Rhinolophus ferrumequinum: one gene and its partner. The protein of the gene in region 2 binds, or shares a complex with, the protein of the main gene of each other region. Links are inferred from orthologs where the notes say so. Each region holds a gene or a part of one and is shown on either strand. Other genes may lie near its edges. The genes, in order: S100A1 and CAPZA2.

What was found.
Region 1: the proteins of CAPZA2 (region 2) and S100A1 are in contact, whole or in part, in an NMR structure (PDB 2KBM), measured with the Rattus norvegicus proteins. The link is inferred for Rhinolophus ferrumequinum from reciprocal best matches to the Homo sapiens genes CAPZA2 and S100A1. Residues at the interface, in NP_001009180.1 of Rattus norvegicus: Thr267, Lys268, Ile269, Asp270, Trp271, Asn272, Lys273, Ile274, Leu275, Ser276; in NP_001007637.1 of Rattus norvegicus: Ser44, Phe45, Leu46, Asp47, Lys50, Asp51, Ala54, Lys57, Ile58, Glu61, Leu78, Ala81, Leu82, Thr83, Ala85, Cys86.

What each region holds. Positions count from the first base shown.
Region 1 is NC_046305.1:52,553,562-52,569,247, reverse strand, and holds S100A1 (protein S100-A1), read right to left. Parts: upstream 7,874-15,686; 5' UTR 7,724-7,873; intron 5,759-7,723; exon of another isoform or gene 5,748-5,758; 5' UTR 5,736-5,747; coding exon 5,595-5,735; intron 4,602-5,594; coding exon 4,458-4,601; 3' UTR 4,277-4,457; downstream 1-4,276. Other genes in the region: CHTOP (chromatin target of PRMT1 protein), read right to left, coding at 528-681, 2,014-2,078; S100A13 (protein S100-A13), read left to right, coding at 10,239-10,268, 10,424-10,606. UniProt on the Homo sapiens protein: Small calcium binding protein that plays important roles in several biological processes such as Ca(2+) homeostasis, chondrocyte biology and cardiomyocyte regulation.
Region 2 is NC_046309.1:26,068,355-26,084,809, forward strand, and holds the start of CAPZA2 (F-actin-capping protein subunit alpha-2), read right to left. Parts: upstream 7,888-16,455; 5' UTR 7,783-7,887; coding exon 7,744-7,782; intron 1-7,743. UniProt on the Homo sapiens protein: F-actin-capping proteins bind in a Ca(2+)-independent manner to the fast growing ends of actin filaments (barbed end) thereby blocking the exchange of subunits at these ends.

The DNA of each region.
Region 1 (15,686 bases), on a different chromosome or scaffold from region 2:
TTACTCAGTGCTCTTGCTCTACTTTACTGACAAAACTTGAGGTGCTGTGGAGATGAGGGTCACCTTACTTATTTTAGCATTGAAAACCACTGATAAGGCCATTCATTCAGACTCCCTAGACTAGGGGACAAAGAATAAAATTAATTCTCTAATTTGTAAGTCATTTAACAGGGAATAAAGGATTTTTTTTTTTTTGAAGATCATTTAAAACAGAAACCAGAATTTCTTTGTGGAAAGAGCCAGCGAATTTACTTTATGGGCGAAGGATCAGAAAAACAAGAGATTAACACTCATTGATAACATAGAAACAGGCCACACTGATGGCAAACCCCCTAAAAGAGAAAGACAACAAAAAGTTACTCATTGGTACCTGCCAAATGGGAGTTCTCTGAACTTCTCTCCCCCAGAGAAGTTTCAGCTTTTGCCCTGAGCCACCTTGGAACCATCCATCAGGTCCTGACAGGCTCAGGGAACTGCCTGCCAGAGATCACCAGCTGCTTCTGGAGTGGTATGACCCATCCTCTCACCTGCTTAAGTTTTAATGCTGCCTGGACAGAGGGTCTATTCTCCATCTGCTGGGCCAGTCTTCTGTTTCTGGCACTGGCTAGCTGCTGCTGTTGCTGCATCGAAGCCCGAATATTCACTGGCATCGGCTGTTTGTTCTTCAGCATATTAGTAAAGCTTCAAGGTCGAACAAAATGGATGTTTAAATAAAAGCTTTATTACAAAACATTTATTGGCATTTTCATGGCTTGCTAGACCAGGAGCTCCAGATCCCACGAACTTTTAAGTAAAGTGGTACTTAGATCAAGGCTGATGTGGGTTAAAGACTCCTCTGCTTCCACAAACTTGCAAGAATCAGAAACTGAGAACTGCAGCTAAGTGCAGCACATTCAATCAAGTGATAACGAGGGCTCAGGTGACGGCTGGGAGAGGTGGAAGGTATGAAAAACACGCAATAAGCAGATATGATGACAACATGAGACACAAGATGGAGTTTCAAAGACAAACGAAGAAAGCCAAAACCCTGGGAGACCTGAGGGTGCATTTTAAGGGCCAATACACAGGCCAGGAGCACCTCGGAAGCCCACGGGAATACGGCGCTCGTAAATCGCATGAGCACACCACATTCTCCTGTTTGTTCACTCGGTAACATGTGAACGTGCAGAATTAGTGTATCATTCCCCAGGAGAGAAGGCCAAGCACATATGCTTCAGAAAAGGAAAACATAAACATTTAAGTAAATCTTTTTGTGGTCGAATATCAACTTAACACATCACTGGTCAAAGGCACTCAACAAACAAAGCTCTCAGAGACAGAAGCTGCCTTTTAATACCTTCATTTTCTTAGTCTCAAACGATTACTTTTTCTAATTTCAAGTGTTTACTTCTGAAAAGTTAGATTTGGTCAATTGTTTAAGAGCTCGTGAAGACACTCTTCTATTATTCCTGTAAGGGTAAGTTTAATGGCATGGAAGAGAAAACACTTAACTGTAAAAGAATCCAAAACAAAACAAACTCAAAGCAGAATGCAAAGAAGGTGAAATGGAGCAAAAGCAAGTGCCTCTTACAAGACCCAAGAATGGCGTTCAAGGGCCTTTGGACATATTCACGGCTTGCTACCTGCCTCTTACAGGCCAGACACAACACTGCTGGCCTTGGACGGGGCAGCAAGCTGGCTGCAGGCTGCAGCCTGGGTACCGTGCTACTGAGCTGCACCATCCCTGTGTCAACGTTAAAAATGTGAAGAAAAGGGAGGGTGTGAGGAGTCTTTTTAAAATACATCCCACCAGACAAATATTTCAGACAGCTTAATATAAAAATCTACTGATAAGGGGTTTTGAAACAACCGCCCAATTTGCTTTGTGTACCACATAAGATGCAACTAAGAACAGAGGTCTGTAGCCTTCTGTTGGTATTTAGTTTAAAAACCGGCTTTTGTGCATTGGACCCCAGGGCCAATTTAAGTAATGTTTTCTTATGAACGAGCTGAAGTTGCTGTTGGCTGCCTCACCGCTCATTTAGAGACATCTTGGTGGTGCTTTTTAGCACAACTTTCGGCGCTGACGGTGCAGCCATCTTCAAATCCCGGTAATCTACAAAGGACAATAGGCAGAATGAGCACATCGCAATACCAACGACCTCACTTCTGCAAAGGCCAAAGGCCCAAAGCAACAGCGCCTGAAAAAGGCCTGTATCAACAGCTATTTAAGAGCACACTCCAACGCCTTCCAGGGGCTTAAATTTGTAAACGACCTCAAACCACCACCCTCAAAGACTCCACAGGACAGCAAGTATCAGCCAAAGCCTCCAAAATGGCAGACCTAGCTAAAGGAAGTGGAAGAGTTTGGCTCTTCATCTCGCGTGGTCCTTCTCAACCTTGGCTGCAAGGAGCTTTTAGAAACATTTAGAATCCTGGGCCCAAACCAATTGAACCACAATCTCTAGTGGTGAGGTCTGTGGGTCACAAATTGGAAGCGGAAAAAAAAAGGCTACCTACGTGCTTCTCCTGTGCAGCCAAAATCGGGAACCATTGATCTAGAGAAACGATAACGGGCATACCTAATATCAAAATCAAGTAGGGGCCTTAGCAAGGGGCTGGGGACCTGCCAGAGGGCGCAGGGAAGGTTTCCTAATTGGGCATTCACCCGGGACTTAGCTCCCAGAGAGCGCGCTACAAGATTTAACCCTGAAGCCGCCGCTCCTTTCCCACGATCCCCCAAGTCCTGCGTTTCTCCTTTTTTCCTCTCCCCACCAGCTCAAAGCCCTGGCAAGACGGCCAACTTTGCTCAACCGGCCAAACCGTTTTGCTTCTCAGCGCTACCAAACCCCAACCTTTCTTTTCCAGCGATCCCGCCACGAGGTTCCAGCTCAGGCCCGCCCCCGCGTGCCTCCCCGCGGCTCCGCCCCCTCCCCGGGGCCTCCCCACGCCAGCACCCCACCTGCTCCCACCTCCCACCCGGTTCGCGTCCGCCGGCCCCTTCCGCTCCGCTCCGCTCCCCGAGACCTTCCCCTCCTTCTCACCGCAGCGACGTACCGCAGGAAAAGGACGCCAGTGCTCCTCCCGGGGCTGCCACCACGGCTGCGGCAGGCGGGCCGGGGGCCGGCCGAACCTGAGTTGACGGCGGAGGGGCTCGGGTTCGCTTGGTGGGCGGTTGGTTAGATGCGTAAGCGGTAGGTTGCTAGGTTAGTTCGTTATTGTCGGCCGGCTGTCTGCTCGGTGGTCCGCCTGCGCGCCCGGCCTGCCCTGCCCTGCCTTCCGGCTGTGCCACCGCAAGCCGCTGCCGCCAACTCCCGCTCCGAGTCCAAACAAAATGGCCGCCACGCCCAGTGCGGAGTGGGCCCGGCTAAAATGGCGTCGACGCAATTACGTCAGGCGACAGGCCCACGCACAGCTAGTGGGCGGGGAGATTTGGGTTACGCCTGCGCGGGGGTCGGGGAGGAGCCTTAGGGAGAAGGCGGGGCTTTAGCCGTCGCCCCTTCCAGAGCCCGCGGTGCTCTGCCCACGAAGGGGCGTGGCCAACGGCCGCGCAGTGGGGTCCTGCGGGGCTTTACGTTCCAGACGCGGTTGCCGGTAACCTTGAGGGCCGCTCCGAGCGCGTTCGGTGCGGAGGCAACACATGCTCGTGTTTCCTCGCGCGCCTGCCCGACCCCCAGTCTAAGGCAGACCGTCCAAAATGTTCTACCTGGGACTTGTTAAAGCCTTATTTGGTGACAACCTTTGCGTGCCTGTTGCCCCTCCCACGTTGTCCCTCCCCCTCTGCCATCCATGTGGATGTTGATGAAGACATACATGGGACTTTTCTAATGCTTGCGTACACAATAAAAGGCGAAAATGGCTGAAGAATGAATGAACGAATACATCATCAGCCCTTCCTCCACCCCGTGCGCCCCCATCAGGGTTCTTTCGTTTCCCCTCCAGTATGTGCGCGTGTTTAATGGTCTGGCGTCCTCACGGGACGTGAGGACAAGGGTCTGTTTGGTTTGTTCACCGTTGTATCCCCGGTGCCTACTCCATATCTGGCACATGGCAGATCCTCGAAATAGGCTTTGAAGGTTGAAGGGAAATTCTTTGTCTGGCTTTGCAGCTGCGGAGCTAATGTCTCCTGCACTTGCAGCTGGTATCTTGAACCCCTGCCTTCCCGGGCCTTGAATATTCCTCCAGTAGGAAGATGTAATGGTCCTTTGACCTCTCTCCAAATAAGAGCCAACCCCGAATAAGGCAGATGGGGAGGGATCACACCCCCGTTCCGGAGCCCAAAGGAAGGACAACAGACTGGCGAGAGAGGAGCCTTTAATGAAAGAGTTGCAGGCCTGGCCCACGACTCTTGCGCCCTTGTTGGAGGGTAGGCAAGGGTGGGACTGTGGGGAGCGGGGCGCGGGGTGAGGGGGAAGCAGAGTACACGGGCAGGGGTGGCAGGGTAGAGGGGAAGGGCGCTGCCCACTGGGGCTGTCTGCTCAGCTGTTCTCCCAGAAGAAGTTGTTACAGGCCACCGTGAGGGCAGCCACCAGCACCACGTACTCCTGGAAGTCGACCTCCCCGTCTCCGTTCTCATCCAGCTCCTTCATCACCTTATCCACCGCATCTGCATCCTTCTGGGCCTGTGAAGGGAGATGGACGGGGAGGTGTATGGAGATGGATGGCGCCCAGTTAGAGCCAAGGGGGGGGTGATTGATTGGGGAGCAGGAGGCAGAGCTGAGCAAGAGGGAGTGCTACATCTAATTAGGGGACTCTTCTGCTGCCTTCCTCGAAACTGACAAACACTGCGGCCTCCTGCTGCCTATACAGTAAGCCCCTCAACGAGGCAGAGTTAGAAACACCCATTTATCATATGTTGAGCGCCTACAATGGACAAGCGCTACACTAGGAGCTTTATAAGCACTGTCTCGTTTAATTCTAACACAAATAGCATGAAGTAGGTTGCATTATTCCCGTTCTAGAGAAGAAACAAAGAGACAGTTGGTGGTTAAATAATGTGTCCAAAGTCACACAGCTAGAGTGAGCGTGGCTGCGCCCAAGCTTGAGCCCAGGTCTAATAAAACCTCAGAAGCTGAAGGCTTCTCCTTCAGCCTGTTTTTCTGCATCCTTCCCTGCAGTCGAAACTACTGAGTGTGCTCCATACTCTTCTTTCTGCCGTGCTTTTATTCACGCAAACGCCTCCACCCAAAATGTCTACTTTCATCCTAAGCATCTTCCATTGGAAACCTATGGCTCAAGTGTCGCCTCTGTGGAGAAGCCATCCCACTTCAGTCAGGTTAATGTTCTCCCAGAATCCTTCCTGGCACCTCTGTTAAGGCTCTGTGTGCTTCCTGGTGTCCAAAATTTACTTTCAAGGGTCAATCTTCCCTTTCCAGACTGTGAGCCTTGTTATGGCTGTATCTACGCAGGTCCTGGTCCTTGACAGATGATCACTAACTCGGGGCATTTTGGCTTGAACCAGGAGTAGGGGAGCCTGGAAAAACCCAGGAGAGAAGCCTGGGACGGGAAGGAGATGGTTGGGCTGAGCTGGGGTGAGCTGGGGAAAGGGCAGGGAGGGGCCCCCGGTGCCCCCCAGCCCTTGCCCGCTCCACCCAATCCCCCCACCCTGTACTCACATCCAGGAAGCCGGAGAGCTCCGTCTGCAGCAGCTCTTTCAGCTCCTTCTTGCTCAGCTTATACTTGTCCCCTTCCTTGCCCGAGTGGGTGTGGAACACGTTGATGAGAGTTTCCATCGCCGTCTCCAGCTCAGACCCCATCTCGAAGCTCACCTATGCACCCCCCACCATGGAAGTGAGCAGGGGACCATGCTCAGGATATCTGGGGTTGGGGTGAAGGGAGCCCTCAGGCCTGGTCCTGGTCCCACAGCCCAAATAGCCATGAGATTGGAGCTCCATCACAATGTACCTCTCAGTGGGACCCTAAAATGTAGGGGAACCCAAACAGATCTAAGTCCAGACCTGTTCTGTGTGTCCCTCCATCCAAACCCCCGCCAGAGGGAGTCAGAGTTTGGGGCATGGAGGGGGAACAGCTGGAGCAGGGCTGGCTCTAGAGGCCTGCGTGGACCCTGCAGTGTCTCCTGGCTGGCTGCACAGATACTGACGAGGGTGTGGCAGGCAGGCAGGCAGGCAGGGGTGGTCACAGGACCCAGCCAGGCTTCCTCTGGCTCTATTTTTACCCTGAACCTTGCCTGCCTAGCATAGCCAAGCTCTGCGGTTGGAGGTGGTGGGCTGGGCTCCTGTCTACAGACTTGACTCTGTTGCCCACTCCTGGCAAGGAGTCAGTCTGGTGCCCTTGGTCAGCCTGATGGAGAGGGTGGCAGCCTGAGTGGGCGGCCCAAGGGTCGTGGGAAGGAAGTCTCATTGCCTCTGAGCTTCCTGTCAGCAGATGGGGCATCTTTTGGTCCCTCAACTCTGTTCTCTCCTGAGCATGGCACTTCCCGGGGGTATGTCTCTAGCTTGGTTCCTCTTACTTTTCCACAGAGTTAGCCCTTCCATGGGGTGGTGGTGGGAAGGGACAGGAATGTCTGAGACTTTTCCCTGGAGCCAGAGCTTCTAGGGAGGGGAAGAGGAGACCCATGAGGACTTGTCACTGCTAGTAGCTACTCCCACCCTCCAGGCCCAGTCTGGTTGGAGTGGGGACAGTGGCAGCAGGGAGAACGGGGTTGGTATGTATTGGGGGAGATAAAGGGCCGAGTGCATTAGGTCCTCTGAGTTCAAGGGGCTGGGAGACAGGGGGAGAAAAATGGAGGGGTCTGTTGAGGAGAGGGGACTGCCAAGCCAGGGGGCCTCTTTCTCTCTGTCTTGGGACATTCAGCCCGACCACGGCCTCAGGGGGCAGCTCAGGTGTCTTAGATCAGGTGTCCCCATCCTTCCCTAGGCCTGAGGGGCTGGACAATGGGCCCTGATCAGATGACATCCCAGCTCTTCAATGGGGCCCTTGTGAGTGTCACCTGAACTCCGGACATGAGACGTGGTTGTCACAGAGACATGGGGGAGATGGAACCCAAGCCGGGGCTGATGGAGGGGATAAGGGGCCTGAGAGGGAGGGGCCTGGTGGCTCAGTTACCGGCCCCATCCAGGACGGGCACCTGGGGGTTGCCTGGAGCTCGCCAGCAGCCAAGCATTTCATGTGGGGGCAATCCTGAGAGGACCTCGGCAGGGAGGGGGCGGGTGGGAAAACAAAGAGGAAAGAAAGAGGAAAAGAGGAGTCTGGAGGTCTGGGCCAAGAAAGGGGAGGAGGAGAAAGGGAGAGTTGGGAGTGGGTACCACACCCGAGTGCCCCTCTTCCTGATGTCACATGGCCCATGCTCTACCAGACGTCCCTGGGCCCTGAGCTCTTGGCAAGGCTGGGTGGGGGAGGCAGAGCAGCTGCTCCATTTGTCCTCTCCAGCTTATCCCACCGGAAGTGAGCCAAGCGCTGGGACCCCTCCCCAGCTCCTGGGAGATTGAGGGAGGCTTGAGAGGGCACTGGAGGGCTTCGTGGTAGGAGAGCCTGATCTGGAAGCTTGGTGGCTGGGCTCCTCATTGGCTTCCTCATTCTCTGAGTTTCTAGATCTCTCTTTGACCTTCACTTGTCTCCCCTCACCACTTTCTAAACCCTGTCTCCCCCAAATCCCATACTGCTGTCACTCGAACTCATCCCAACCCTCAGTATACCACAATGCCATCGTCCCCAGATTCTTGGAGCCCCGCTGAAGTCCCTTTTCCCCCAGGCTGGCCAGGGCAGGATGGGGTGGCATACTCACTGTCAGCCTGGGCCTGAGGTGGGAGCAGGTTCTGGACAGACAGACGAGGCTGCAAATGTGGCTCCCAGAGCTGTGTGTGGAGACCTGTCTTCAGCCGTCCTTCCCCCGCTGACCCCCCTCCCCACTGGCTCCACCCCTTCACAGATAGACACCCAGTGGGGCAAGGGGCCAGGAGTGGACAGAGGCGCCCTCTGTCTCCTGGGCTGGAACAAGCTGCCCTGTGTCCTCTTCTCCAGCCTCGGTTGCCTCCCCCCTACTGCTGGGCCCCAACAGGCAGGCCCTGGAGGAAGGGAGGTGGGAAAGGTCCTGGGAAGGGCACTGAGACACCCCTTACCCCCGCAGTACCCGGTTGTGGCCAGCTAGGCAGGGAGGGCTGGAGGCCGCTGGGAGCTCTCCGTGAATAATTCGATCTTGGGAGTCACCCTCCGAAGTTTCAGTGTGAGACCCCACTGAGGGATTTCAATCCAGGGTACCCTCGATGGGGAGGTAGATAAAAAAGGGGCCACAGACTGAACCCGACACGCTCAGGGGAGGCTGCATGGCAGGCTGTACAAACTCAGAGACAGGGAGTAACCACACAGGATGGTCGGAACATCAAAATTCCTAACTAAAAGCTTGTCATGGCAGGTAGTCCCATCCTAGGCCTGTAGCTTTCTTGATAGAGGTTAATCTTTACCTTAAGGGAGCCTGACTATTTCCTTTTTGTATCTAAGATAACATAGTTACTGACATTACTTTAAAATGTCAGAGTAATCTCCTTTTCCATACCCCCAGGGCACAACCTCCTACAGAGAGCACAGACCATAGAACCCTTCACTGTTACCTTGTCCTTCCCACACACACACACACATGCCATCTCCATGTGCTGTAAATGTTACTAACTATCCTGCACCCACAATGTGAAAGAACTGTGTGTCTCTCCCTTTTACTTTTTATCCAATCCCAGAGGTCCCCGCCCCCTTTGCCTTCTCCCGGCTCCCTAATCTACTGCCCATGGATTCCATGTAACCCCCTCCGTCTCCTCCTTGGATTCTAATGTATGAAATCAGCTGCAAAAAAGCCATTCTCGGGAACATTTTCTCAATCCGTTGAGATTTTGCCTCCTCCAGGTGATTGTCATCAGTTTGGTTCAGTTAAACTCATAAAAATGCTCTACAGGTTTGGAAATTTCTATGTCAACAGGGGTCTCGGTCTGATTCCCGTATTTGCGGGGTCTTGGTTTGGGATCCTCTGAAGGGGTCTTGGGCTTCAGGGTCCTTTGAGAGATCTCGTTCAGCGATGTGGTGTTTCTTAGCTTGGGCTTCTCAGTCCTGAGTGAGCTCCTGCAGTTGGTTCTTTCAATCAATCTGCAGTCACCTCCCGCAGGGCCCCCCTCCCCCCCACCCCCGCTCCCCCACCCCCGCTCCCAACATACACACTCCTGATTACATGTTGGGGTGTGGTGGGGCAGAGGCTCCCCATATTGGGGGGGATAGGACCCTCGGCCCTGGCTGAGTGGAATCTGGCAGCTTCAGGCAGATCCCCACCCTCACCTCCCGACCAAGTGGGGGCACCTGTGGGCTGGGCTGAGGGGCTGGGGTCCCAGGCGGGTTTCTGGGCGCTGGGAGCTGGGCGGGAGGGGGGCGCCAGGCGTGATTGGACGTCTCCTCCCTCCACAATCAACCAGGAAACTTGAAACCTCCGAGCTTGGGAGGGGCCCTGGCCTCTCCGCCCAGCGCTTATAAACCTCAGCCCCGCGGCAACCTCGTGTTGCACCCCGTCTCTGTGACTTCCCCTGGTGAGTCGTGTCCCCCTAATTCTGGGGGGAACCCGGGGAGCCCTTTTCCTCCCTGGACTCCCAGGTCCCGCCCCTGGAGCCAGCTCAGACTGGGATTCAGAAAGTAGCTTGGGGAGATCAGACCGCAGTCCCCGGGGGAGTAAGGTGGGGGTGTGGTGGGGGGAGGCAGAAAACGGAGGATGAGTTGGCATGTCCCTTTCCTCCAGCCTGTCCCCTGGGGCTGTGTGTGCCGGGACCAAGCCCTTTCTGGGTGCCGAGTGCCGGCTGTCAGCAAGGCCCAACCAGGACCCCTGGCTCGGGGAGACAGGGGCGGGAGGTCTGCAGGATCCTGGGCTCAGCACCGGCCCTGCGGGGAGGGAAGCGGAGAAGGACCACCGGGAGGCTGGATCTGTCAGACAGAGCCAGCCTTGACCACGGCTGGGCCTTTGCCAGACCAGGGCTGCTCTCCTGGGAGGAGCAGGCGGGTGGAGACCCAGGTCCCCACACAAACAAGCTTTGGAGACAAACAACCTCCTGACCTTTTGAGGCTCGGTGAGATTCCAAGCAAGGGCCCTGTGGCTGAACCCTACAGAGGGGCCAGGAGACTGAGAGGCTTCCTAACGGGACCCTCAGATTGAAAACCTCCTCCCGGACAGAGGGGTCTCCAGACTGAGGGACCATCACAGAGGGGTCCCTAAGACATAGGCATTTCAAAAGGACCCCTAGATTGTGAGATCTAGAGAGGAAGGGGTTTCTGGAATGAACACTCCTTCCGTCACCTGCACTGAGGTACTCCCTGCCCCAAGCTTCATCCCTGTCCGCTTGTTCCTTCTCCATAAAGCCTCTGCCTTCTCCAGGCAGAAGCCAGAGATAGCAACCCAGGGCAGGGGCACTCTGGCCTGTCCTGAGTCTCCCTTTCTCTCCTCCCCTCTCCCTCCCACCAGTCAGCCCGTGAGGACATCAGCTCCACCCTAATGGCAGCAGAGCCACTGACTGAGCTGGAGACGGCCATCGAGACAGTGGTCACCACCTTCTTCACCTTTGCAGGACGGGAGGGCCGTAAAGGCAGCCTCAGCATCAATGAGTTTAAGGAACTGGCCACTCAACAGTTGCCTCACCTGCTCAAGGTAGGTGGGGGCCTCTGGGCCCGAGATTTTAGGAGACAGTGGCTGTGGGACATTGTGTACGTGACGTGATATTGCTGGGCACGATAATGTGACCACAGATGTGTTGTGGAGAAAGGTGTGGGTGGCTGCATGTGTAAGTGGTTCTGGGCGTTCTTGCCAAGTGTGTGTGTGTGCGTCTCGGTAACAGTGTCCGTGTGAGGGGAAGTGTTATGGGGCTTTGTGCTGCATCAGATAATGCTGCAGGGTTCCTGTGTCTGCGCTGTGCCTCTCTGATCTCATTTGCCTCACAGAGGACTGGACCCAGAGCTGGCTTCCCGGACCGTCAGAGCTAGACGGAGGCCGAGAGAAAACATATCCACATTCCTCATTTCACACATAAGGAAACTGAGGCCCCGCTGTGGGAAGGGATTTGTTAAAAATAAAAACAGAGCCACATTTATGGAGTCAGGATCTCAGGGTGGGAGGGACCTGTAAGTGATCCGTGGTTACTTCCCACCCTCTCTGGGAATCCCCTCAATGCGCCTGGCTGGGTCCCCCCGTCTCTCCTCAGGGGACGGAGTAGGGATTTAAATTTTATCCACTTTGGGTTGGGCATCATCCCAGGCGGCTAACAGTTTCTTTTACATCCTTCCTGAAAATTCACAGGCACATAAAAGTGTGTGAAGATGGGTTTAAAAACAAAAAACAAGTGTCTCTGAAACTCACAGTTTTTTTTTTTTTTTTTGAAACTCATAGTCTTTCATCAGCAAAATCCCCTCCTCCTTAGGCTTCCCTGACTTTTCCCATCCTCTCCTCACAGGAAACGCCAGGCTCTCTCCTGGAGGTACAGCACTCCCAGTAGCCTTGCCAAATAGTGACTGGTTTTGAATAATATTGAATGTCAACTATAATTAAACATATATATGTATGTATAGTCACGGGATGTGGGGTACAGCAGAGGGAATAGTCGATGGAATTGTAACAGCTGTATACGATGGCAGACAGATAGTAAATTGGGGGGTTATCACTTTGTAAGGGGTGCAAATGTCTAACTATTTCATTGTTTTGTACACCTGAAACTAATAGTAATATTAAAATATAGTGGCTGGTTTATCTTCCTCTGTGTGTTGAAATGCAGGAAGTGACCTCTGCGTTTCAGTGCTGCTTCCGGATCTTAGTTTTTTTCTTCTTCCTAAGATGCCCAGCTCCTTGGAAGCTCAGGTACCACCTGCCTTCCTTATAGCTCTTCAGTTCCTGGCTAACTGTTTTCCTTCTCATCACTGCTGCTGTCATTATCCTCAGCATTCCACAGAGACAGCTCAGCCAACACCTGGGCCTTTCAATTTCTTGAGCTCATCACTTCCAAAGATTGTCGCCCTGCATCTCAGGATTCCACTCCTCTGCTCATGCTTCAGATCTTGGTATTACCAAAATAACGCACCTCTTCCAAGATCTCAATTTCTAACTTCCTTTTCTCTGTCTTCCATGTCATTCCAGTTCTGTTCCTCTGTAGGGGAGTGAAAAGGTAAAAATGAATTTTCCTCCTACCTTTCTAAGTTCAGGCTGGAATAATAATCAAATTGACGAGAGACGGATTGACAGGAGAAAATACCCACACTTATTAAGTATGTACACACAGGGGTTCCATAAGAAGATGGGTCCCAAGGACACTGGGCGGTTGAGGCTTACATACCATTCTGGAGCTAAGGCGAAGGTGGTGGGAGTGGTTTGGAACCTAAAAGGGCAGGAAGGCCGTTCCCACAGAGATGGAAGAGCAAATGAATGTCTGCTGGGCCAGCTTTCACATGGGACACAGAGGGGACTTTTACCCAATGGGCCTTGCTCATTTTTTCGCTATCACACACTAGTTCATATTAAGCTATGGTTATCTGTGATGACAGCTCCCTTCCTGAAGCAGGTCCTCTGTCTAAATTCTTCTAGGCAGGTAGAGGGAAGGCCAAAGGTTTTTCCTGAGTCTCGTTTCTTGAAAATAACCAGCTTAGAGTACTCAATATCCATCCCAAAAGGCATATTTTGGGGTGCCAACTCTGCTTCCCTCACCTGTTTCTAGCTCCTCCACTCCAGCATTTTCTTGACTCCCTATTATTTTTTCCATCTTCTATCTTTATGTCTTGTGTTCTCATTTCACCTCTTACTTACCTGGGTTCTAAGGCTCATCATTCATTATAACCACTCCCACAACTCCCTTGATTCTGTTTCTTTCTGTCCTTGTCTTTTGGCACAATCCCAACCCAGCTTAAAGCCAACATTTCACCTCCAGTAACTTGTTGGTTGAATGCACCATTCTGTACCTCCACTTCTAGAGCTGAATCTGGCTGGAGAATAAGGCACCGCCGTGTTCATTTGTCGCACTTTAAATCTATAATCACAAACCCCTCAGCGATGTCTGCCAATTCTACATTTCCCTGGTCGATTCATTTACCAGCTCTTTCAGATGATTATTTCACAACTTTTCCTTTCTCCTCAAACTCTAGTACCTCTTTCCACATCCCTCTCACTGAGAAGGAAGTAAGAGTAATCAGGAAGCTTCTATGTGCTCCTTCACCCAGATCCACCAACACATACCCTGCCTTTCATCCCTGTCTGCTCCCAAGGCCATACCCTTCACTGGTGCCCTGGATCTCATCCCTTCTCACCTACTTAAAGACTTTAACCCTTTTAGTTCTTCCCCCCTCTCTTGCATCATCAAAATTTCCCTTTGTACTGGATTGTTCTGGTCAGTTTCCAAATATGCTGTAATATCTCCCATCTTTAAAAAAAAAAACAAGGAGAAAAAGAAAAGAAAAAAAAAGAAAAACTCCCTTGACCCTGTAACTCCCTCCAGCTATGCCTTATATCTCTGCTTCCCTTTTGTAGCAAAACTTCTCAAAAGCATAGGAGTTATTTATACTGACTGTCTCCACTTTTCCTCTCCGGGTCCAGAATGCTCACCCCTGCCCCTCGTCTAGGTATTTGCTAGGCTTATTCCTCATGTAACTCAACTTTTTGCTCAAATGGCAAATCCTTTGCATGGCCTTCACTACTGAATACAAATATCACCTCCCTGTGCTCTATTCCTTTACCTTACTTTATTTTCTTTCAGAACACCTCAATCACAACTTGACCTCCACTATATACGTATATGTTACCAAGAATGTAACTCCTGTGAGGAAAGGAGTCTGATCACTCTTTTACCTCTACTTAGAGCAGTGTCTGACTCCTAATAGGTGCTCAATAAAATATTGAAGAGTGAGTGAGAGAGTAAAAAAGTTTTAAGAAAAGCATAAATTGTTGAGTGAGAGAATGAATAAATAAATGCATTTTGCCTACTGTTCTATAAATAGTTTTTTAAAAATGTAACAGTTGTTGGGAGGGGAAAATTTCCCATTTCCCTCTCTTAGTTCTTTTGGTTGTTCTAATAATCACATTGACATGAGACAGATTAACAGGAGAAAAATGACCAGATTTAGTTACGTATGTACATACGGGGGGTTCCATAAGATTATGGGGCCCAAGGACAAATCGGGCAGTAAAGCTCAGGTGCCATCTTGAGCTGAAGAGAAAGTGGGGGTTGCAGTTTGGGACTTCAGTGGGAAGGAAAGCAGTTAACATGGAGCTAGAAAAGTAAATGTTTGGTAAATAAATGTTTGCTGGGCCATCTCTAACCATGGGACACAGAGGAATTTTACCCAATGGGCCTTGCTTGGTTCCTCCCTGTCTACCACACACTAATTCATATTAAACTATAGTTATCTATGATGACAGCTCCCTTCCTGGAGCAGGACCTCCATCTAAAATCTTTGAGGCATGTAGGGGAATAGTCAAAGGTTTTTCCTCGGTCTTTTGTTTCTTAAAAATAACCAGCTTAAAATAATCAATATCCCTAAAAAGGCACATTTTGAGGTGGCCGACTCTGCTCCCCCTTACAGAGCATATAGGATATTTTCCCATTAAAAAAAAAAAATGAAGCACTGTATTCCAAGATAGGTTAACACACATTTATGTAGCCTACCCTCTATTGACGGAGTTTTCTCTTATGCCCATTTTCCCCCTTTTGCAAACATCCTTGTTTACATATCTTTACAAACTTGAGGGAAGCTATCTACATAGGTTAAATGCCTGAGAGATGAAATACTGCCTCAAAAGGCGTGTATATTTTTAATTTTATAAATGTTACTAATTTGCCTCCCAACAGGGTTGTACCACATTTTATGGCCACCAACAGTGCATGTGAATATCTGTTTTCCCACGTCCTTGCCCAAACTGGGTCTTATCAAGCTTTTAATTCTTGCCAATCTAATATGTTAAAATGATACTTTTTCTGAGTTATGCTAGTTCTTAGTGAAATAGAGCATATATATATATATATATATATATATATATATATATATTTATTTATTTATTTATTGGGGAATATTGGGGAACAGTGTGTTTTTCCAGGACCCATCAGCTCCAAATCAAGTTATTTTCAATCTAGTTGTGAAGGGTGCAGCTCACAGTGGCCCATGTGGGAATCGAACCAGCGACCTTGGTGTTATGAGCACAGTGGTCTAACCAACTGAGCCAACTGGCTGCCCTAAAAAATATTTTTGATGGACATGTATATTGCTTTCTCTGTGAACTGCTTGTTTATTTCTTTTATCAAAGAGTTTTTCTTTTTCATATTGATTTATTATAGCTCTTTATAGAATAAAGAAATTAGCTTTTGTCTATTATGTGTGTTGCAAATATTTTCCCCTAATTTGCCTTTGTCCTTTGACTTTGTTTTTTGGTAGTTTTTACCACACAGAATATAAAAAAATTTTATGTAGTCAAATTACCAAACTTTTCCTGAATGGCTTCTGTGTTTTATGCCATGCTTAGAAAGGTCTTGCTCAATTTAACATATTAAAAAAAACAAAACCAAAGAAACCCAGAATTGATTTCATTGTTAAAATTTTCCTACTGATGTGAAATACCACCTTGAGTATTTATTCAATTCCCATGTGTATTTTGGGTCTCTTTATTCTGTTTCATTCATCTGTTTATTGTTTATTTAGTAACAACCTCATTTACCATTGTTTCATAATATGCTTTAATACTTGTAGGGTTGTTTCTTTCT
Region 2 (16,455 bases):
AACATTTATTGCGCACCACAGTGCAGTGAGACTCAACCCTTGCAGCACATTCACGCCATCCAGGAAGCTGTTTTTTTTTTAATTAAACAAAGAAGTAGAGAGGCTTTAGGCCTCTCCCACGAGCGAAACCTGTGCACCGTGTTTGTTTATAAACTCTCCACTTGACTCTAAGGCGCATCTAGAGCGGAAAACCACTGATCTAATATACACCAGGCATGACTGGAATTTCAAAGATGAATAAAACACAGGACCTGGCCCTGAAGAACACAGGAAATAAAAACATCAGGTAAACCTATTACGGTTGGTAAATGTTATAGCAAAGGTACGTACAAACTGCTGAGGGAGCAGAGACAGGCCAGGATATAAAAGATGAGGAGGAAGTCTTAGCGCCTGGTTATTGAAGGATGAGTGGTTTACAATGCAGACAAGAGGGAAAGAACATTTCCAGAAGAGGGAAAACATATACACACTTTCTAGACCCTGGTAATGTGGCTTTTCTTTCTGCTCCCTGCTCCAAACTCTAGAAAAACTGCTCTCTTAATGACCACCCATGATTTCTAGTGCACCATTTAGATAGTTGGCCTCATCTATATCAGTTTTCCAATCTGTAAAATGGAGATAATAACAAGGTTACTCTGACAATTGAAGAGATTATAGTATAGTAGATACTGGATATACAGTAGTAGATATAATTTCTCATCCCATTCTCTTAAATTCAAAGGCTTTTCTCAGTCCTATATTCTGTCTTAATCTCTACAACACTGATCTGCTCCTTCTGGAAATTCTCTTCAAGTCCCATGACATAAGAACCTACTCTGTGCTAGGTACTCACTTCTGCTTCAGGGGTAATTCCTCATCCTCTTCTCCTATTCTTTAAATGAAAGTATATCCAAAAGCATATGCTCTCTGCCCTCTCTTCTTTGCACATCTAAACTTTCTCCTAAAAAGCTTATCCCTTCTCGTGGCTTTAACCTGCAAAGAGAGGATTTCCAAATCTGCATAAAATCTCTGGGCCTGAGCTCTTTCCCAAGCTCCATTCCTACATTTCCATATGTGCCAGGCTGTTCACATAGACATTCTGCTAGGATCTCAAACTCAATATAACCCGAATCAAATTCACCATTACTTCTACCAACTGTGCACCCTTTCCTGTGTTCTCTAGTTGGTGGTACCACTTCCCAGTCATCGAGATTCCCACATTCAGTTACCTCTGGTTCCTCCCTTACCCCTACGTTTACTACCAAGTCCTGTCAACTCCAACTCTGAAATCTATTAGCAATCGTTTCTTCCTGTCTTGTGAAACTACTTTAATTTGAGTTCTAGCACTTAACCCAGGTTCCCAACTGCTCTTACTGGCTTCAATCTGGCCAGACCTGTGGTTTTCAATTAGGAGCGAATCTGTTCCGCAGGAGATATTTTTGGTCAGAAGGACTGCGGGGGGCATCATGTGGACCAAGGATGCTATTAAACATCCTACAACGCACAGGACAGCCCCTACAACAAGGAGTTATCCTTCCCAAAATGTCAACAACGCTGAGGCTGAGAACCCGTGTTTAGCAGGGGTTAATCTCTGCATTTCTTACTAGCAAAGTACCCCCTGCTTCTTCCCACTTTCCTGATTTTCCTTCCTGTGGTGTGCTTTCTGATATGACCTTATACACCACTGAAGTCTATCCTCCTAGGCAGAAGTAATTTTTCTGTCTTCTGAATTTCCATGAAGTTACTACTTTTTGATCCTGTACAGTATGTATAAATGTTATATACGTCTGATTCATCTGTGACTCTATGTATATATCTACCAAAGAGGTGATCAAATCACAAACTTTCAGTGAGTCTAAAACGTCAACTATGGTGCTATTACTTCTATTCACAAATACAATTCTCTTTCCCTTTCCTGACCTTTCTGAAATCAGGTTTTTAGATATAACTTGCTTTCGTTAATTGAAATCTGAGCAGAAGTGCGGTGATTGTGTGTGATTGTGTGTGTGTGTGTGTGTGTGTGTATGGGGAGCCGGGAGCTTTAAAACCAGCGTGCTATTCACTGCATTTCCTTCCCACTGCTATGGGGGCTGTAGAAAACGGGCTAAGTTCAGACTGAAGTCCTCCAACAGCCTGAAACTACATGACTTCTGCTGCTGGCCCACACTAGACATATACGGAATGAGTGACGAGATGTCCTACAAAGCCCCCACCACTCTCATGCTAAGATTTTAGGTTGTTTTTTAATGCATTATATGTTTGCTTACCCTGATTCATAATCAACGTAAGATGCATAATTTTAGGTAACCCTGAAAAAAGGAAAACTGGTACCAATGAAATATCATAAGCCACTGATTGTATAATGCAGTCTGATGTCAAAGATCTTAAACGATGGGAAATTATGAGCATTGAAATCAATGAAATATGGTATATTGATAAATAAATGAATGTGGACACAGTTTTCAAACATTATTTCCATTCATTGTCAACAGAAACTAAATAGAACTAAAATATCCAAGAAGTTCGCAACCATTAGATTCATAATGGAACATGTAAATAAATGCAGTAAGTGAAAGAATGTAGAAATTGTACATCCAATCTTAAAATAAAACTTGTGAAATTCTCCTTTTTTGACAACTGTAGGTGTTTCTATGGAGCCCCTATTTTCTTTGACATGCATGAATCTCTTACAATAAATTACTGCTTCAGGCAATTAGGCTTTTGGGTCAGAGCACAAAACTTTAAGTCAATTTTTCCCATCATGCTTTTCACCTAAAAATCACTTTGTACTCTGCTCTAAGTGTTCTTATATCCTGTGTTATTACACTAAAATGCAATGCTTTATGTGTATAGCTGTCCTTATTTTACGCAGAAATGGCTCCCAAATGCACTGAAAACACCACAAATTCGCTTTAATGTGCAAAGTCTGAAATCCCCACTAATGTTATAGCAGCTATCAAGTTTCTGCTTGCTGTAGGAATTTTTACACTTTATTGGTGCAATGATGGAATTCATTCACCTACAGAATATAACTAGGAATGAACATTTTCTACATTTATAGCTCACTGTTTGAGTTTACTTTTTGGTTAATAAGAACACTACTGAGTTTACATTAATTATGATGGAAAATAACAGCCTACATTGTTTTTACATACAATCAAAATTGCTGAAGCCAAATTATGGTTGTGTAGTGAGGGAAAAGCGTATAAACGGCTATAAAGAATATTCAGCATGTGGACATGATTTGCACCATATCCAGTATCATCACCTGTAACCCAGAGAGCACCAGGAGTTCCATCTGACTGTTTGAATCTTTAAAATCTATAGCGCTATTTAGAAATTAAAAAATTTAGGCACAACAAATTTATCCTGCAAAATTTGGCTTTATATGCTACTTCTACTTTTCATAAAACTCTAATGTTTTCTCTGTAATTTTCTGAATTCATGATTCCTTGTTCATTCTTTCACTGAACCATTCTACCCATCATGTGCAGCATGACAGATGCTATAGACATTATTTCTGCACTTAGGAACCCCAACTGAATGGGGGGAAATGACAAGTAACTATTATTGAAAACTGTATTTAATACCAGTACTATGTTATAGCATTCAGAAGAGATTAAACTAGCCATGCGATCTGAGCTAACCCTTGAGATGAGCATGACTTTCATCTTTCAAAAAAGGGGACAGACCAGGAGCAGTATCAACAGTCAAAGTGGTTAAGTCATGAGCAGAGTAAAATAACTACCACTTACTGTGTGTTTACTACATGCCAGGCACCATTTATACTTATAGCAACTCAATGGAGAAGATACTTCCTGTTATATCCCCAGTATATCATAGGAAACTAAGGCTGAGAAATTAAATAATTTACCCGAGGTGCTAGACATGGACTAACAAGCAAGTCTCTGAATTCACAGCATGATTAAATAAATAACAGTATATACTGGAAATGCTGGAACTATTTAGGTTATAATGGAATATAAGGCCATGAACACCATTTTCAGGAGTTGGGCTTCATTGTAAAGGCAATGGAGGATCCAGCAACTAAAAGTTTGAGAACAGAAAAACATATTAAAACATGGCTTAGATACAGGAAATTAGAAGGATGAGTCTAGAAAGTCTATAATAAAAGCCTAGCGGTGGCAAAAATAACAGAAGGGAAAGACTAGATATGAGAAAATCTTCTAACCCTACTTTTCCTCGAGGCCTTGTCTTTATTTCTTCCTCAACAAAACTGTTCGTACAGTAAAATTTTATTACTAAACAACAGTAGTTAATAATACAAATAACAGTTAATAGTTGTGTTAACTGAGAGGTAAGAAACCAATTATTAATATAAACGAATTAACTTTTCAAGCAAGAAATAAATTATTTGCATAAGATACATTTTGATGATGGAAGTGACAAGGTTTAGAATCTGCAAGGTACAGAGCACAAGGAAAAAAAAGTTAGAATAAAGCTGAAGTTAAAAACTTGGATGACTGGAACAATGGGAACAGATATAAAGAGAAAGATGAGCTGGAGGAGATAGATTTCTGCCCCTCTTTGTGTAGAGGGAAGGAGAGGGGAATTTATGAATTTAGTTTTAGGCAAGTTCCATTTGAAGATACCTCATTGTGACAGGACTAGCAGAAAAAAATGTGTGACCAGTGCTCAGGAAAGAAGTTAGGGCTGAACTATGTACTTGAGACACACCAACAAAGATAACAGCCGAGGCTATGGGATGGATTACTTTAATCACCGGGGGGAAGGTGGGAGGATTTACAGAAAAAAAAAAAAGATCCCTTCTAACCAACAATTGTCTTCTTCTGGAGCTTGGAGTGACTTCCTAGATTTTTCTCCCCTAGAGAGGGGTTTGGGAGTGGTTCTTCTCCAGCCTTATGCCACAATATCATATAATTTCAAATTCACAAAAATGCTTTACTGTAAGATACAGCTAACCCAGGAATGGAAAACGTGATTGTTTTTTGGCCCAGTTTCTCTGTAAAAGTCTGTGGGACACACTACAGCATAAGAGTAACTTAAAGAACATCATTGTTCTTCTTCGGATAACTTAATTCTTATTAACCCAGTGGCCAAAGGTAAAAAGATTATTAAATTCATAGTGATATCCTCAAAAAACAATTGCATATGACTTAAAAAAGCAAAGACATAATTCTAGATTAATTTCTAAAATGCTTCCTACCATAGGGCATATGTGAAACTATACCAGTAGTATATTTTTAAATGTATTGAACAATAATAAACTTTGTTCTAAAACCAAAACACAAATTTAGAACACAACACTATTTGATGTTTAGTATTTACAATTTTTTAATTAAAAACAGAAAGAACCATAGTTTGTCCTTTTTCGAAATAAGCTGTCAACAAATTAAAAACAGATTAACCCAGAAGAGGTCGTATTGGTCGTTTAAAGGAGCAAAATGTCACAAGAGCAACAACTTTGGATTCAGACAAACTCAGGTTTAAATATCACCTTTGCAACTTCCTACTTAGGTATCCTTGGGTGAATCTGAAACCTTATTTTACTCATCTGTGAAATGGTAATATAACCTACCTCAAATTAACAAATTTATAAAAATGAACGTATTGTCTAACTGAGCCAGATACATGCAAAGTATGGTACTACATAAATATTAACAGATTCATTTCCTTACATCTGCAATCAATAATGGAAATTCCAAGAGCTTAAAAGTCTTAAAAGCGTATTTTTGAAAATTACAATGTGGCAGAAAGAGCAACACAATTTAAATATTAGCTTAAAAATATCACCTTTAAATCCTCTGATTCCATACCAAACATCTTCCTCCCAAAAGATTACAAGAATATTTCTAAAGTGACAATATTAGAATTTAACTCAAAAGTTTAGTCAGTATTTTTCTTAGATTAGTAAATATAGCTATGAAATCTATATGCAAAATATCTATAGAATAGTGTTACAAAACTCAAAACAAAAACAAAAACGAATTCCTTCAAATTAGAATTTTCATTCATTTCCTCTTAGAACATTGCGCTGGGCAAGCTTAGAGAATTAGACACCCCCCCCCCTGTATGGAGCTTAGCGCACAGAGAGTGTGGCACAGAGAGTGTGGGGTAATACGGAGTGTTGTCACCTCATCACTATTTTAGGCCTTCCCAACACCTGGCTGGTCTGTATTAGCTTCCACACTGGGTACTCTCTTCATCGCGATTTCTAGCGACTTGAGCTACATCCAACCACTTAAGAACGGTGGAATAAAAACATGACAATCTTTTTAACAAACTTTTCAGCACTACTTAATTTTAAATGTGTGTGTGTGTACAAGAGCATACATTTTCAGTTATCAACATATAGTGATTTACCAATGATACACATGTGAAAACTGCACAGCAACTTTGTGTATACAGGGACCTCTCTGCCTACCGGGTCCCTGGGTTATGGAGAATCTTGTTGCGGTCCTCATTTTGTTGTTTTATTATAACTTTCACCAAAAAGCACAGAGAAAAAAGATTTCCAACAGTAAAGATGAGGCTGACCTCAGCACCGACATAAGGAGATGGAACATTACATTTCCGTGTTAGAACACAGGATGTAAAAACACTTGGAGTGAAGAGTTCGAACTGAAAAGTATCCTTAGGCTTGGATTAGGATTTCTTAAAACACCACGTCTGTGTTTCCTACATGGCTGTACTGCTTTGGAACTTAAAAAAAACCACAATGTTAAATTAAGAGTGGACACTTCAAAAACTGCAACAACCATCTTATTTATGTCAGTTACTTCTGAATTTGAGAAACCTCAAGGTCCTTTCCAGGAAATACTCAAAATCAGTAGGGTCCCCACCCCACCTCACTGGGGAACGGGGCCTCACAGTCGCCAAAGGAAACGGCAAATAAGAGAGAACTAGTTCAATGATCAGATTTCTTATGTTAAATGCCTGAGAACTTAAGTCGTTCATCTGGTTCCAAGGCTGCCGCATCATTTAAGATACAGTAAAAGGAGTTGCACAATCTCCCCTCTTCGACAGAATTCCTAGCAGGACGCAGAGGCGCCACCAAACCAGCCCCCGAGGGCTGCTGCCAGCCTGGGCAGGAAACTACTGGGGAGGGGTCTTCTGGTGAGCAACTCCCCGGCCTCCTAGGGAATACGGAAGCTGCAAAGCCTACAGCTAAAGACGAAATAAGAAAAGGAAAAAAAATCAGAGAGAGGCAGACTGCCACCGGGAAAGGAAAAAAAGCGTCGCGAACCAGGAAGGGAAGCATTTTGCTACTGGGCGGAGGGATTAGAAGGGAGAACTCGAGGTCTGCTTCCTAAGCGATTTTTGCCTCTTACCCTTCACCCCGGCTACACTATTCAGCCAGGCCGTCAGGCTGGGCAGTGCCCTTGGGAAGCTCGCAGGCCGGCCCGCAGACCCCTTTACAGCCCCCAACCTGGCGCAGGGGCCGCTGCCCAGGCCCAGGGCGAGGGTCCCCGCGCCGCTGCCCCGCGCGACCCCGCCCGCCTGCCCGGCCGTCGCGCCAGGCGCCGCCGCCCGGCTCCCGCTTCCTATTTTCAGAGCACACACCCTACAAGGAGTGGAGCGAGCAGGCCAGGCGGAGACCTGCCCCCGCGCGGGCCTCGGGTGACTGACAGGGGCAGGCACTTGGGCGCAGCGAGGAGAGGGGGGCAAAGGCAGCCGAGGGCACAGACCAATGCCCTTCGCCGGCGGCCAGCCTCCGGGCTTATACACCAGGGCCCCGCTGGCTCCCGGGCCGACCGGCTCCGCCGCCCCCGCAGCTCTTACCTTCTCCTCATCAGACAACTGCTCCTCCAAATCCGCCATTTTCCTTCTGGCGACAAACCGCGGCGGCGGCGGCAGCCACCTGACTTCCCCCTTTCTGTGCGGTCCTCCGCGCCGCGCGCGCCCCAGCCAGGGAGGGGCCAGGAGCCCAGCCCACCGCGCACGCGCCCAGGGAGCCCCGCCTCCTTTCCCCGGCCCGCGGGGCCGGAGTGCGGGGCGCGTGCGCAGAGCCTCGAGGGGCTCGGGAGAGGGAGGAGTCGCCAACCGCCGCCTGCTGCAAGCTTGTCAGCGTGCTGGGTGTGGGATTCTTTCCCACCAGTGACCATATGGACCCAGTCTGCAACAAGTACATCCTGAGCCCTTGATTATGTTCCCATTAAGGCCTGAACTCTGCCAGCTAAAATGTGAAAAGTGTACGAATAGAAGCTTTTTAAACATTTTGTTTTTTAAAAAAAATTGCTAGAAAAACACTTAGCTTTCCTTAAAATATGCAGACAACCCAGTCCATAATTGAAAGATTGCTCTTGATATATTCATTCATTCATTCATTCAAGAAACATTTATTGGTCCTTTATGGTGTGTCGGGTACTGTATTAGTCTCTATGCATATACACTTGCACAATGTTAAGCAAAAACCAGAGAAACCTGTTTTCAAACCTACTCTGAACAGTTAGGGAAGGCACCGTACTATTGCAGAGGAATACAAAGTTATGTTTTAGACATGGATCCTACTCTTGAGAATCGGGTTGCCAGATAAAATACAGAAAACCCAGTAAAATTTGAATTTCAGATAAACAATGAATATATATTTTAAGTATAAATATGTCCCATGAAGCATTTGAGATATATTAAAAAAATGTTTTCAAATTTTATTGGGCATCAGTATTTTTCTTTGCTAAATCTGGCAACCCTACTTCTGAAGCTTAAAGTTTAGCAAGAAAGTGATGATGTAGTCAAAGCTTAACTGGCTAGGAATCTTGTTAAGATGCACTTGCTGAGGCAGCGGGTGGAAGGTGGGCTGGAGAATCTGCATTCCTAACAAGCTCCCAGGTAATGCCAATGCTGTTGGCCTGGACACCATCCTGAGCAGCAAGACCTTAGAGTTTAGACAGGAGTTAAGACTAGCCATTATGTTCTATACCTAAAACGAATGCAATGTTCTTTGTCGATAAAAATATGTATTAAAAAGACTTTATTCAGTAGAAAGTTGACAACTTTTGCACAGTGATATAACATCATCAGAAATATGTCTAGAAAGATGAATCTGACAGCTACATATAAATGACACAAGAGAATACCTTAGAGAGTTCACATGCAAAACGCTATTAATAAGTAATTTACTAAGGGTTCATAATGTGCAAATCATTGTTTCTTGTGGATGGAAAGTGAACAGAAACCATGCTGTTGAAAAGATAGTCCATTTAGGGAGAGAACTAATGGGAAGCTTGCTGAAACATGCAGAAAAAAGCGGGTGTTCTATTGAGGATAAATGGTGCGGAGAATGAACCACACAGTTTGGTCAAGGACCTCACTGGATGTAAATCAACAGCATTTTTATTCTTTTACAGTTTACAAATCATTGCTTCATTGATTTCTCACTGCAAGTAAGTTATGAAGTAAGGTATTTAATCAGCATTATTATACCCATTTTACAGGAGACAAAACTAAGGTTCAATATTTATCCAATTTTGCACGGCACCAAAGTGCCTGAGTTAGGATTGGAACCCAGGCATCTTATTCTAGATCCCATGTTCTTTCCCTTTTGAGATCTTTTTTCTCTCTAAATTCCAGGTGCTCTCCATCAAATAAAACTTAATGAAAGCACTTATCTCCCATCCCACCGATTCTATTCACCATCACATACGGCATCAACAGTACTTCCTTTTTTCTTCTCCTTCTGCTTTTTGGTTTCCGTTTACTCAGCAACACCTAATATCAATAATTTGTATACAGAGGGTACTCAGAAACTGTTGTTGCGTGATTAATTGGCTGCCCTCTTCCTTTAAAAACAGCACTCAAATCTGGTAATGTTTTGCAATAATTTGAATCAGACTATGTTTGTAATCGTAGCCTTAGTGATACTTTACATGTGGTTTCCCATGTGACACAATCAGCAATTAGGTAAAATTTCTGATAATCCTTTCAAAAAAGTCCCAAAACCACTCTCCCAATACCACCCTTGGTCAGTCCCAATACCACCCTCTTGATATAGTTGCAAGGAATAACTGAAATCATGTAAAACTAGGAATTCTGGGAAGATTTCTAAGGCACCATGCAAAATAGGTATAAATATGGACTGACCATTACATGAATGCAAGTAGAAATGTGGTACTGGTATTCTTTTTTAAATTGGGGAACAGTGTGTTTTTCCAGGACCCATCAGCTCCATGTCAAGCCGTTGTTTTCAATCTAGTTGTGGAGGGCGAAGCTCACTGGCCCATGTGGGAATTGAACCTGCGACCTTCCTGTTATGAGCACTGTGTACCAACCACTGAATCAACCCGCTGCCCAGGTATTCTTGATATACAGTTATTTCATAACCAAAAGAAGCAAAATATTCCTCCCATACACAATTCTCCCTATTATGTGAGAATTTCTACTCCTTTCTCATTTAATTTCTAAACTCACCTTCTACTTAACTGCACCAGAACCTATTTTTTTTAAGTTTTTCCTTTTGCAGTGTTAGTTTTTAAGTTATTTGTATGCTTTTAAATCTACTTTCCTGTGGATGTGCTACATGTCCTCACTTATATTTTAAGCTTGTCAAGGTCAGAGGTTACCTAATTTCATAGAATTACAATCTTGCAGTCAATCTAGTGCAAGAGTCTCATTTGGCAGATAAGTTGAGCTTTAGATAAATTAAATGACTTGATAAAAATTGCACATCTACATGATGTTATTTGAGAACCAATGTCCTGATGGTCATGTTCATGTTCTATCCTTTATATGATATACTATACACACACATACATATAATATAACATATATATCTCAATCATATAATGTACAATGAGATGATATTCAAATTAGTGACTGACCACTAAATGGTTGTACCAAATGTAGACTTCATAATAATAACATATTATTTAATCTCTGTATTGAAAAACTAGTATCTGTAGTTTAAACCTGTGACTTACCTTACTTCTGAAGAAAACTACCAGTGTTAGACAACGAATATTTTGTTGTTTGTTACTGTTTCATTGTGGGGACAGAGCCAGGAGTGCAGTTTCCAGGCTCTTGGCCTCACATCTACAGTGGAAAGGTACTGGCTCAGAAGTAGTAAATGGCCATCAACTGTGATTGGAGGCCATCAGCTGTGGCTAGTTGGCCGTCAGCTGTAACCAGTGAGCCATTGGCCGCTAATATAACTGCTGTGGCTACGCTAGCAGAAAATGGGGGCTAGCAAGAAGATGGGGGCTGGCAAACGCGGATTGCAGTTAGCACATCGGAGTGTGGGTTGCAGATGGCAGAGGCGGATTGCAGTTAGCAGGTGAGGTTGGTTGGCAGAGACAAGTAGACGGCAGGTTGAGGATAGTGTGGCTCCTGCTTCTGTGTCTTCAACCCAGCCAGCAGTGAGACTATAGTGGTATGACTCCCCTACCTATGGCTCCGTGGGTGTTCCTTTTTGGCCTCACCATATCCTGCGTTCTTATGTGGGGAGCGGGACCAGAGACCCTGCATGACTCCCTACATGACATTCATGTTCAATGAACATAACGGGTCTCAAGTAATCTTCTTTATGGCAGTAGAAAAGTATCAGCAATCACGTATATTTAAAAAGTAGTTGTCTTTCTAAATCAAATAATTGCCTAAACTATTGGTTACTTGTAGTTAAGTGTGCCCTACCTGTAGTCCATTTCCTTAACTAGATTTGAAAAGGTCCACGCAAATGGTAGCCCTGGAAGCCTGACATGGATCACTCTAGAGCTACCAAGGAATTATTGAAGAAGCTTGTTTTCAATTCCTCCCCTCTCCTGAACATGCTGTCCTTCATAATTTGATTCTTCCCAACCTCAACAAACCCAGCTCTGCCGCAGCTCTGAATGCACACATTATGGAAGCACAAAAAGCTACTTACTCAGGCATCACAGTTTCTCGTGCCTCTGATGAAGCCCTATCTGAAACATTCTTTGCTACCTACCCTTTAAAATTCACTTCAGTTATCCCTTTTCCCATGAAATCTGCATTGAGTCCTCTAGCTGAAGCTAGTAATTTCTTCTTCTAGATTCCCATAGAAAGTTTTCCGTGGAATTTTGCTGTGTACTCAAATGGTGAGGTGTACAGATTTTATAATCAGGAAGTCCTGGATTCTGGTCTTGGTTCCAGCGCCAGTTAACTTGGACAACTTGCTCTGGACTCCTCGGTTTCTTCGTCTATGCACTGGAGATAATAATGATCCCTCCCTCATATGGCTGTTGTGTAGAATTAATGAGACATTTTAAGTACTTAGCATCCAGCCGTAGCAAAAGTCTCAATAAATGTTACTAGCTATTGTCGTATTATAATGTCGTACCAGTCTGCCCCTTCACAACATGGCTATGTCTTAATTAGCTGTTTGATAAATGCAGAGTCTGGCTCATAAGTGCTTACAAAAGTTTTGTGGGAATGCAGACTGATTGAATGACTTTTTCATTTTATGTCCCTAAATGGGAGCTGAAAAATTGAGCTAGCCACCTACCCACATGGGGTGTAGAGATTGCCCTAAAAATGTGGCTCTGGGTGTCCAGAACAGGAAAAGAAACACTTTCCCCAGAAAAACCCAAATCATAGTAATACTCCTATTCTACATTCAGTCACCCCTTATATATCTCTCTAATCGATTTCCTGCTCCTTAATTTCTGTCAAATGTAAGTTCAAGTCTTCAGCATTGTCATGCCATGTCCCAAATGAATTATAGGACGTGTTGAATGCCCATGGGGAGTGCCCAAGGTGTATGCCTTTAGAGTGAGGCAAGGAAATTCTAAACCTTCTACGTATTTCCATTAACTTATCTGAACTATTATTACATCATATATCAGATACACAAAACAAAAACAAATAAACAAAATAAACTTGCTTTACCCGTTCTAGCTCCCATTCCCTTTCCATCTTCCCACAGGTAACCACTAACCTGAATCATTCCCATCCATATTGATTTTTTCCCAACACAAAATTGTTTGTTTTTCATCTTTTTTATCCATTTAATATGGTACCTCATTCAAAAAGTATTTATGGAATGAATTATTATGATTTCTTGTAAAAAGTCTGGAAAATAACATGAATAAAGAATATTAGAGTATTTTCTCACTTTAAAAAGTCTCCCTACATGAGTGAAAAGATAAATTCAACATCTTTAAATTTTTTTTAACCTTAGTGTCTGGTAATACTTTGAATTCTTATTTGGATTCAGTATTAGCAGTATAGTAGAAAAAGAAGTTTGTCATTTATGTTTTCCCCAGCCATACCAACCTACAATAATATTGTGTTTCTCTAACTCAGGTCTAATCTAACGAATTGCAAGAGATCCTGCCCCAATTCCTTCCTCTGGATTCTTTGGGGGTGCCACAGTGATTCACCTGCACGTGTTTACACTGCCATCTTTTGTCCTTTTATAAAGGCTTTCAGCACCTCTGCTGCTCCCTCTCTCATCAGACCTCTCCCAGGTTTGTCGCTTTAACATCTTTCCTGATGCTCCCTTCACGGGACAGATGGCTCAGTGCTCACATCACCTCACCTTCTTCTTCTGTGACTTTAGCTCCATCCATTGCATGTAGGTGCTGGGCAATGCCTGGCCATTGTCCCAGCCTGGGTGGTGGGGTACTCAACTTCTGTTTTCTCCTGTGAGCGGCTTCTGATGAACAGAGCTGTAGCAGATACTGTGAATGCTCTGACCAGATCCCTTGGATCACTGGGACCCTTTCTGTGCTTCAGGGCTTTTTGCCTCCACTTCAGAGAACCTACAATTATTTGGGGAAGGACTGACTGCTCTTGGCTACTGAGGTGGCTTTGTCAGCAAGCACAGAGCTGGGAGTTTAGGTCCCGTGGAATAGCTCTTAACCAAGGCTGCTGGGGTACACAACCTCAGCCAGCTAGCCTCAGGTCAGAACAACTCTGAGATGTAATGTACATTCCAGATTTCCCCAGAGGGAGAAGGCCAATCTCAACTTGCCTTTTCCCCCTTTTCTGGGAGTGACTGAGGCATGAAAAGTTACCAGTGTAGGAGCACGAGAACAGCCATAGAACAGAAGGTGGGTTTTGCACATGAGTGCATTCTGGTGCTTCAGACTGGGGGTCAGGGGGCCAGCAATCAAACTGGGAGAACCCCGCTAGGGTTGAAGGAGCCTTTAGGATAAGCCTCAGAATGTTGATTTGGAGGGACGTTAATCTACTCTTCCTTCAGTAGGACTAGCCAGGGCAATGGTGTGGGGGCTAATTTGGCAGGTGTCGTTATATGTGGAGGTGAATAGAGAGAGCAAAGCCAGGGATGTACCCAGATTGTACTTGACACTGTGCAAAGCAGACATGGAAGACAGAGAATTTCAGACTACAGGACACCACCTGTGTCCTAAGGTAACTCACATTCTGGTTGTGCAAGGCTAGAATTCAATACATAAAAAGGTACCCCTCCAAGCAGTATATGATAAGTACAAAATAAATGGCACAAACGAGAAATGCGTTCTCTATACATATGAGATAGGATGTGTCAAAAGTTCAGAAATAATAGAAGTAAAACCAATGAATTACTGAAGTAGTAATTAATACAAGTTTATTGTACACACATCAAAAAGACAGTTTGCAAACAGGGGGCTCTCAAACCAAATATGGGATGAGGCTCAGGGCTGTATTGTTATAAAGTAGCTCATATAGTGAGAAAGCAGTGACTGTTTATTCTTCACAGAGACTGGTTAGAATATTAGAAGTTTCTTAAATGATATCAATTTGTGGAAACATTTCAAGTTTTGCTTATGATTTCCAGAAGCATAATAAGTAAGTAAGAAATGACCCAGGCCAAATTAGCTTTTCAAAATAAGCTAAATTGAGCTTTGTTTGTATGACTTAACTGATTTTGTCTGCTCAGGGAATTTTCAAGTTTGCTTTCCACTTCTTTTTTATTTTAACAGATGTAAATCATATTGAAACAATGGATGAAACGAAGAAATAGATTTTAAAATTGTATTCCTCTTATGTATTCCTTAACCTGCTATGCTGCCTATCTCATGACTGAAGTGTGAATTTAAAGCATATTACAATGTTAAATTATTTTTTTATTTTTAATCTTAATACTTCCAAAGAAAATCTAGATTCTAAAGATAAGTGTACATGTGATGGCTTCTTTGAGTTCATATACTAACCGCTTTTTAGATGAATTGGATTATTTTAGGAAACAGTTTCCTAATTTCATAATTTTAGCATAGTAGGACAAAGTAAGAGATTAATGCAGGACATATTATAACGGACTGTTTTGAATGGCATTGAGGAAAGGGATGTCTACATCTGGGGAAAGTAATTTCCTTTTGTAAGAAGACATCTTCGGTTTAACATTTCTGGATTTTACCTTTTGGGAGAATTAATTGTATGGTTTCTGCTAATTAGTGTAATCATTCCAAGCCTCAATTTCATCGTCCATTAAAAGGGGAACAATGGTAATATTTACCTATGTGTTTTGGGAGGATAAAATGATGCATAAATGTATAAAGTGTGTAACACTTTATATAAAAGCAGTGCCATTGAATTCTATTCATTCATCTTCACTGTGATGACTGTAATGAATATATCAAATATTTCCACGAATGTTTAACTTTTTATTTAAGTGAAACATTACAAAGATATTTCCTTCAGTTTGTTTTGACATTATCCTATCTTGCAATTGTGTGGATAAAAAAAGCCTTCTGAAACATAAGAGTGTCGATTTAGAATACACAAGCCTGTTTTTTTTCACTTAAAAAGTCCAATGATCTCTTAACCTTTTTGTCTAATTCAAAGATTTATTGTGAAGCTTGCATAAAGTAACATATGAAAGGTGCTTTCTAAAATAAAAAATGCTGGATGAATGCAAAACAGTATCTTTAAAGGAAATCATATTTTGTGACATCAGTAACCTCATTCATATTTCTTCTGGTTGTGTCTTTAATGTACTCAAGTCTGATAATCCATGAGCAGTTCTGCAAAAACATTTGTTGTGCTTCTGTTATGCTTTAGCTCTCTACGTATCATTTAAGATGTAGCAATTAACAAAACAGTCAGGGTCCCTGCCTTCATAGAGCTTATTATTTAGATTAGAAACATGCAGTAAACAAATAAGCACTCAAATAACAATGTAATTACAATTGTGAGAAGTGTAATGACAAAATGTGTAGCATGATTTGAGTGTACAGGTTAGGAGATAATTCTCAACGAGTCTTTCACATTTCTACACGTATTGCAAGCTGACTACCCTTTGTTCTGGACTATTTTTTTGAAGAGAGTTTGCCTAGCAAACAGCCTTGGCAGATAGTGCCTCTCTCCAGAGCAAAGCGTAGGCATGTTTACCGCCCATTATAAAAGCTTCTGGTTTCTTAAACTCAAGGTTCCACTCATAATACAGCCCATTTCACGTGCAGGTTTCCATCTGGATCCATCTGTGCTGCCGTATGAGATGGGGATAAGAGAAACGAATGCAAATGTGCTGATGCTTTTGTAGCTTGCTGTGTCAGGAGTAATCAAGTCCTTTGTCTCTTCGCCAGGCATCTTGTGTTT